Schizosaccharomyces pombe: one gene and its partner. The protein of the gene in region 2 interacts with the protein of the main gene of each other region in a biochemical or structural test. Each region holds a gene or a part of one and is shown on either strand. Other genes may lie near its edges.

What was found. Proteins that work in one complex are often made in the same cells at the same time.
Region 1: the proteins of mud1 (region 2) and ubi4 form a complex in vitro, tested with the Schizosaccharomyces pombe proteins (one study listed by BioGRID).

The regions. Positions count from the first base shown.
Region 1 is NC_003423.3:1,043,771-1,047,447, forward strand, and holds ubi4 (protein modifier, ubiquitin), read right to left. Parts: upstream 1,823-3,677; 5' UTR 1,797-1,822; coding exon 648-1,796; 3' UTR 501-647; downstream 1-500. Other genes in the region: ecm14 (carboxypeptidase), read right to left, coding at 1-189.
Region 2 is NC_003424.3:1,136,633-1,141,589, forward strand, and holds mud1 (UBA domain protein Mud1), read left to right. Parts: upstream 1-2,485; 5' UTR 2,486-2,497; coding exon 2,498-2,701; exon of another isoform or gene 2,702-2,815; coding exon 2,816-3,610; 3' UTR 3,611-3,693; downstream 3,694-4,957. Other genes in the region: dolichyl-phosphate-glucose--glycolipid alpha-glucosyltransferase Alg10, read right to left, coding at 1-122, 165-1,099; protein ema19, read left to right, coding at 1,934-2,485; rRNA methyltransferase Rrp8, read left to right, coding at 3,989-4,945. UniProt on the Schizosaccharomyces pombe protein: Recognizes and binds polyubiquitin chains. Acts as a linker between the 19S proteasome and polyubiquitinated proteins via UBA domain interactions with ubiquitin for their subsequent degradation. Aspartic protease.

The DNA.
Region 1 (3,677 bases), on a different chromosome or scaffold from region 2:
CTGTTCTTCTGATATGGCCGCAGTCTCGCCATTAAACCCAACGTAACTGGTCATCCAAGATCGAATATCTGAATTCCATTTCACTCCAAGTTCTCTAGAACTTTTTCCGTAGCAAAGGAATAATACAAATACGATCTGAGAAGCCAAAAGGATAAATACTAAAGACTTTAGAGATTTATTGTAAGCCATGAGTTAGAAAGAGCAGTCTTCAGTGACATGGAAAAAGGAGATATAGAATAATTAAGATATTCCCTTTAGAAAAGCGTCGAAATAAATAAATTAAGTAACGCTTGTTCGGTATAATTAATAAGAAGAATATAGCTTGGCGCTTCGCCCAGCTTTGATTATCTACGTAAGGGACGACAACAGTTTAACGCTGAAATTAGCTACTACTCAACGAAATTTAACCTCTTCCCTAATCAAACGCTATAACACTTTACATCGGTGAAATCAGGTCTCACTATTGCCTATAAATACAAACATGGATCGCACATTAAGAATATACTAAATTAAGTCAATAATATTATACCAACATAAATAAAGCAAAAAGCTATAGTATATTGCTATAATGCATTGTATAGTTATGGATAACTAAATCAGCCAATTGAAAAAACGTTAAAGTTGAACTAGTCAATTACAAAGGATGATTAAAAAAGACCGCCACGAAGACGAAGAACAAGGTGAAGAGTAGACTCCTTTTGAATGTTGTAATCTGAAAGAGTACGTCCATCTTCAAGTTGCTTACCAGCAAAAATAAGACGTTGTTGATCAGGAGGAATGCCTTCCTTATCCTGAATCTTGCTCTTTACGTTATCAATGGTGTCAGAAGACTCAACTTCCAATGTAATGGTTTTACCAGTCAAGGTTTTGACAAAAATTTGCATACCGCCACGAAGACGAAGAACAAGATGTAGAGTAGACTCCTTTTGAATGTTGTAATCTGAAAGAGTACGTCCGTCTTCAAGTTGCTTACCAGCAAAAATAAGACGTTGTTGATCAGGAGGAATGCCTTCCTTATCCTGAATCTTGCTCTTTACGTTATCAATGGTGTCAGAAGACTCAACTTCCAATGTAATGGTTTTACCAGTCAAGGTTTTGACAAAAATTTGCATACCGCCACGAAGACGAAGAACAAGGTGAAGAGTAGACTCCTTTTGAATGTTGTAATCTGAAAGAGTACGTCCGTCTTCAAGTTGCTTACCAGCAAAAATAAGACGTTGTTGATCAGGAGGAATGCCTTCCTTATCCTGAATCTTGCTCTTTACGTTATCAATGGTGTCAGAAGACTCAACTTCCAATGTAATGGTTTTACCAGTCAAGGTTTTGACAAAAATTTGCATACCGCCACGAAGACGAAGAACAAGATGTAGAGTAGACTCCTTTTGAATGTTGTAATCTGAAAGAGTACGTCCATCTTCAAGTTGCTTACCAGCAAAAATAAGACGTTGTTGATCAGGAGGAATGCCTTCCTTATCCTGAATCTTGCTCTTTACGTTATCAATGGTGTCAGAAGACTCAACTTCCAATGTAATGGTTTTACCAGTCAAGGTTTTGACAAAAATTTGCATACCGCCACGAAGACGAAGAACAAGGTGAAGAGTAGACTCCTTTTGAATGTTGTAATCTGAAAGAGTACGTCCATCTTCAAGTTGCTTACCAGCAAAAATAAGACGTTGTTGATCAGGAGGAATGCCTTCCTTATCCTGAATCTTGCTCTTTACATTGTCAATGGTATCGGAAGATTCAACTTCCAATGTAATAGTCTTTCCAGTTAATGTCTTGACGAAAATCTGCATGGTAGAGATTGTGTGTGTACAAATGCAAAGTAATGAAGGGGGGAAGCCACCTTTATATAGACGTCGCCACTGCTCCTCATTTTTCACTCATTCATAAAATCAAAATTTAAATACAATCTCCAATACGATAGTTTTTTCTAAATACATTTATGTATAGAAATTGAAGCATATGCACTCAAATTTTTGTTGTGTTTATAAATATACATTGCATCGATTCGTTCGTATGCCATGTTGTCTACTGTGTACGCAACAAAGATTCCTAGACGATATGATGTCACCTCGGTGTCAAAATTAGTCAGTGACCAAAAAAATACAGGAATCCCCCTTATCGCAATGTGAAATGGTGTCTGCAATTCAAACATATCGATCATTAACGTGGCTTTGCAAAACGACTAGTACGAGAGGAAACGATGCAACAGTACAAAATGAAATAGGATAAATATCTGTTTACGCACAGACACTTTGGGAGACATATTTCTAGTGCATAGGTAGTTGGGTAGCTGTTGATAAATCCATGTCAAATAAGCATATTGTTGTACTTTAAAACGAACGAATAAAAAGTAAACATGTCTTAAAAGATAAGATGCTTGGTACGAATAGGAAAGATAACGACTAACTTCTATCAGCAGAGTTACTGTCCATTTCAGTGTAGATGTGTCGCTACAAAGGAGGAATTAACATTTTTCTAGTCCTAGGCCGTTCAAATAGATATCCACAATTTGAAGAACAATTAAACAACATTATCTTTTCCAATTTCAATATTTGAATGAAATTTGCTCATAAATGTGCTTTCCTTTGTGGTTGAATGAGAAAATAATGACAAGACTATAAAATCATGTGCGATTTAAAAGACGAAAATAAAAAAAAAGTCGACAATACGAACGATTATTAAAAATCGTTTTACATCCTTAAAGTATTGTTTATCATCATTAGAAGCATAATCCGAAAGATACCATGGTCTACGATATATGTGCTCTTTGTAAATTTTGATGTTTATACTTTTTTTTGATGTGGGTCAGGTTTGTGACTGGGAATTTGGAGTAAGCTGCGCTCATGCTTCTTAGCGATAATTAGCATAGTTTAATGCTTTTTTAATGAATAATTTATATAGATGTTAGGTTTTAAAACGCAGATTTCTTATTCATATGGAATTCTACTAATTTCTTATGTAGCACACGGAGTATAATATATTTTGCTAATCAATAAGTTAACCGCCAACCTGAAATATTAGAATACTCATCTACTTTGAGCTGTTCCAGGTTACAATTGTACAAGTAGTATCAACCCATCCCTAGTATTTACATAAGTGTTTCCGTACAAACGGTGGGTTACTTACAATAAGATCATTAAAATAATTAATTCTCCTGATTATGGTTCTAAGGTTACTTGGATTTTTGAAAACTCTACTATCAAGTTATGTAAATTAAAAATAGTAAAGCCGGTACTTAATAAAAGTATACATTCTTGCCATTTTTTGGACAGCAATTCGGCTATGTATATTTGATCCTTGGTAGAATCCTTTCGTGTTTTTACTAAGATATACGAAAATATAAGTAGACGAGGATCTCTTACTACCTTTCTAATTGCTAATGTGCTAAGTCAGCCCCAGTTATCACAATCGTACAATGTCAACAATTCACCGGGACGTTACTTATGCAATAACCTAGTTGTAAGGATATTCTCACCGGTAAATCCCAACCCGAAATCAGCACTGAAAAAGAAATCTCTTTGAAACCTCAGTAAAAAAGCATCTCTTTTTACATTGAAAATAAGCTTACTTTGTTGTTTTATTATACTAAATCTGTCTTAGCATAGCGATATAAAACATAATGTTCGCATCGATTTTACTAATTAAGTTAGTGCAAAACCTGTCAATGTTAT
Region 2 (4,957 bases):
AGTAGTATAAAATTAAATAAGAAAATGGGCCTAAATATTTTAACCACCAAATTCGAAAAAGTCTGTTGAAAACGTAAAATAAATAATGCCTGTTGTCTGCTAAAATAAATGGATGGAAAATTCTAAACGTTAGTTAAATTAAACAATACCAATTTAGCACGTACGTATTAAAATGCGCTATCAACAAAAGCACAGAAACGATCAAAAAAGATTTTTTAGAAAAGACTGCGGACAAAAGTTTGGAGCGTCGAGAATGGGACATTAGATATTTTATAATATAAGAGGGAAAAGAAAAGAAAAAGAAAAACCACAGAAAGTAATTTATTTGAGATAAATGAATGCTTGCTTGATGATGAGATTTGTCGCCTAAGACAATACTGCCATTCCAAAGCAAAAATGCAAGGAAGGAACAAAATACTGCACCATAGGATAGAATTGGGCACGAAAATCTTCTTAAATTTTTAAGAAAAACCCCTAAGAATGAAATTATAGTAAGAAGAACATCAGCAAAAGTTGCTTCAGCTAAGTGGGGATTGAAGAAAGACATATTGCTAGCAAAATATGTAACTGCAATAAAGACCATCCAAACGATATTTGTCTGTCGAAACCATAGAGAAAAAAAACAAGACACAGAGCTTGAAAAAGCAGACTTTCGGAGAGCAAAGTCATAAGCAAGAAGGACGAAAAAAGTACTACCAATATCAGTGTAGTATAAAAATGAGAAAAACCATAAAGGAGGTAATGACGATAACGTATAAGCGAAATAGGTAACAACATCTCCTTTCCTATTATTCAAAAGAGAAACGATATCGTTTATAAGCCATGGCAGTCCAATTACGCCTACAAGCCAGTTTATTAACCTCAGAGATACATTGCTGCAGCCTATAAATGGGCTGAGTGCGACTGAAACCAAGTATAAACCAGGAGGTGTAGTAATCGCCGGATCCCAATCCCAATCTTTTCTACAAAAGCGTTGAGCTTGTGCAATATGGAATATTTCATCCAAGTAAGGATTAGGAACATAGTATTGTATAGCTAGAAGACCTGTAAAAGCTAGAAAAATCCATAGTATTAGAATTATAGCTTTTCCAAGAAACATTGTCTGTGTTTTGGGTCTTTAATGAAAGTTTATAATAAACGAATAAAGAAAATCAGGTTTTGATAAAGGGCGCACCTTTTACAAACAGCTTTTTATGTTCGCTTGTTTTAGACCCTATAACACAATTTCCAAAACAAACGATCAACTTTTCGAAAGGTGTGAATTAAATTTCGCTGAGGTTGTTGGCAGGAAGTTTGGAATTCAAATGCTTACAATATAGCAAGAGTGGGAGAACAATGTTTTTACATCAAATTAATTGAATTTCATGATTTTATTATTAGTTATCTAGAGAAAGATAGCATTCTAAAAACCATTCAACATTATGCACACTTAAGTACGAAATGTGACGAGTCTGTTTTTTATATTTAGGCTGCTAATTGCATCATTTTTTTTTAAAAGAACTGATAACATTGAATTTCATTTAAATTTTAATACTTGATAAATTTCATAGTAATGTGGTCTAACATTATCATGTACATGAAGGCAATTAAGCGGTAATACTAACTAATTAATGAAATCTGCCTGAGGCTTTTTAACTTAATATTGGCACACAAAATTACTCGATATACTGATTACCACCAATATGAAACTAAACAATCGTCTTCCTATTGCTTGTAAGTGTAACATCTAACGTATTGTTTTTATAAAACTATTTAGACGTAGTGCTCTAAAACAAACACGATAATACATTATTAAGTAACGTATATAGAATACGCAGAGAAGCAGTTGTTATTAAAAATACTAATAACTTTCAATGTCACCGTTTAAAATTGTAAAATTGTTTTCTATAGCAATTCAAAATCTCTGAATGAGGAATATCAATGTTTTGGGTTCATGAAAGTGGTTTCATTACGCCGCATTTATAGTAGTGAGATATACAAATTGCCAACCACACGCCTTCACATGGATACCTTGTATTACTATTATTTCGTAAGCCATCTAGCTGCAGCATTATTTGTTGATTTACCTATAACTGAATGGCTTGGAGGCTCTTTAAGCTGTCTTTCTGGTTTGCGACGCTTTTATTTATCTACATATGAAGACCCTATTCTTTTAATCCCTGCGCCTTGGAAAACTGCATTGTTTTCTTCAGAACTTTTCTTTCAAGTTCCTTTTTTTATTTGGGTTTCTCTACGCTTACGAAAGAAAGCGAGGGATCCAGTTTTATGGGTTGCAATTCTCATATACGGGGTGCATGCTTTTACTACGACATGGTGCTGCATGTTCGAGTTATTTGCTGAAAAAAAATGGATGATAATGAGTTTTTATTTTCCTTATTTGGCCATTCCTTTATGGATGGCAATTGATATGGGTGGCCGATTAGTCAAGTCGTGTCATGCTGCCAAATCAGGTCCTTCCTCTACCATAACCTCAAAGAGTGATTAAGAAAACACAAAAATGAATAATTTAACACCAGAAAATATTCGTCAAACGATTTTAGCAACTCCTTTTCTATTAAATCGAATACGCACAGAGTTTCCTCAACTAGCTGCTGTCCTTAATGATCCCAATGCGTTTGCTACTACATGGCAGTCCATTAATGCTTCTCAATTATTGCAGATTCCTTCTTCTACATATTCGATGGGAATGCCTTCATTTTCTGTACGTTTAATTTCGCATAATAGCGCCCGTATAAACTGCTGAGTCCAATAATTTAGTTTTAATGGACACAATAAATAAAGGGCTTTCGAAGGTGATTTACTAACATTTTTGTAGGAAGATGACCTCTTTGATGTTGAAGTCCAACGACGTATTGAAGAGCAGATTCGTCAAAATGCCGTGACCGAGAATATGCAATCGGCAATAGAAAACCATCCTGAAGTGTTTGGTCAAGTTTATATGCTTTTTGTAAACGTTGAGATTAACGGTCATAAGGTGAAAGCATTTGTGGATTCTGGTGCTCAAGCTACCATTTTGTCTGCTGATTGCGCTGAAAAGTGCGGTCTTACCAGGCTTCTTGACACTAGATTTCAAGGTGTCGCTAAGGGCGTAGGAATGGCTAAAATATTAGGTTGTGTTCACAGTGCACCTTTAAAGATTGGCGATTTATATCTTCCATGTCGATTTACTGTTATTGAAGGTCGGGATGTTGATATGCTACTTGGTCTTGATATGTTACGCCGTTATCAAGCTTGTATAGATTTAGAAAATAACGTTCTTCGGATTCATGGAAAAGAAATTCCTTTTCTTGGAGAATCTGAAATTCCAAAATTGCTGGCTAATGTGGAGCCATCTGCAAATGCACACGGTTTAGGTATTGAACCTGCAAGTAAGGCGAGCGCTTCTTCACCTAATCCACAAAGTGGCACTCGTCTTGGTACCAAAGAAAGCGTAGCACCCAACAATGAGGGATCTTCCAATCCCCCTTCCTTGGTAAATCCTCCCACTGACCCCGGTTTGAACTCCAAAATTGCACAGCTAGTCAGTATGGGATTTGATCCATTAGAGGCTGCGCAGGCGTTAGACGCTGCGAATGGAGATTTAGATGTAGCTGCTTCTTTTCTCCTTTAACGACTTAATTCGATTTCGGGGAGATTGGATATACATAATCAATGATTTTAGTCATGATAAAAATTAGGGAAATGATTATTTTCAAGATCGGTCCTGTTCTACTATTGTAGACGAATTCTTTCAAATTAATGTGTTTTATATCATTTTTTATGTGTTTTGTATCAGAAAGTAAAAATTCTATATATATGCGTAATTGCTTAATCAAACTGAGTTTTATATTTCAAGATTAGTTTTTTCAAGTATTTGTTATTTTAATTTTACGTTCACAAAAAATGAATGTTATTTATTTTAATACTTAGAAACTTTTATGGTTTCATTGGTTTGACGTACGTAGGATGAAGTTTTCTTACAACCAAATTTAATCTTATTCCCTACTTCATGTTTAAAGTAGATTGGGACTTAGGTCCAGTAAGTAAAAGCGCATCAGACCAAACGAAAGAATCTAGAAAAGAAAAAAAAAGAAAGAAAGGTGAGAGAAAGAATGTAGGAGATAAAGGCGAAAAGCTCAACGAAAAAGTTTTAAAAAAGGCAAAGTCGGTTACCACAAACAATTCCCTGAAAAGCGAGATTAAAAAAGAAAAATCAGTCCCTTCTATTAAAGAGAAAAACAAGGGGGATGCTAAGCATACTAAGTTAACGTCTCTTCAACAAAAAATGAAAGATAAACTAGATGGTGCCAATTTTCGATGGATAAATGAACAATTGTACACTACGGAAAGTGACAAAGCTGTACAAATGTTCAAGGAAAATCCAGATTTGTTTGATATTTATCACGCTGGTTTTCGATATCAAGTTGAAGGTTGGCCGGAAAATCCTGTTGATATTTTCATTCAACATTTAAAGATCAGATTTGAGCATTCAAACGCAAAGAAGAAAAACAATATTGTAATTGCTGACCTCGGTTGCGGAGAAGCTAAAATAGCTTCTACATTTAGAAAATCACGTTCTTTGCAAGTGCACAGCTTTGACCTTGTTGCTCCCAATGAACATGTGGTAGCCTGTGATATTGCGAATGTTCCAATGGCTGACGAAACTGTCGATATTGCTGTATTTTGTTTAAGTCTTATGGGCACCAATTGGCAATCTTTTTTGAAAGAAGCTTATCGTATTCTTAAAGTCGGTGGTTTACTTTGGGTTGCTGAAATCAAAAGCAGATTCTCTGATAAGAGTGGAGAAGTTTTTGCTAAAGAACTTCCAAAATTAGGCTTTGAAACTAAGTCCATTCAGCTTCAAAACAAAATGTTTACTCTGTTTGAGTTCAAAAAAGTACCTGTACACGGGAAATGTGAAGAACTCCCTCCCATATTAAGTGCTTGCATTTACAAAAGAAGATAAACAAGGTATTGT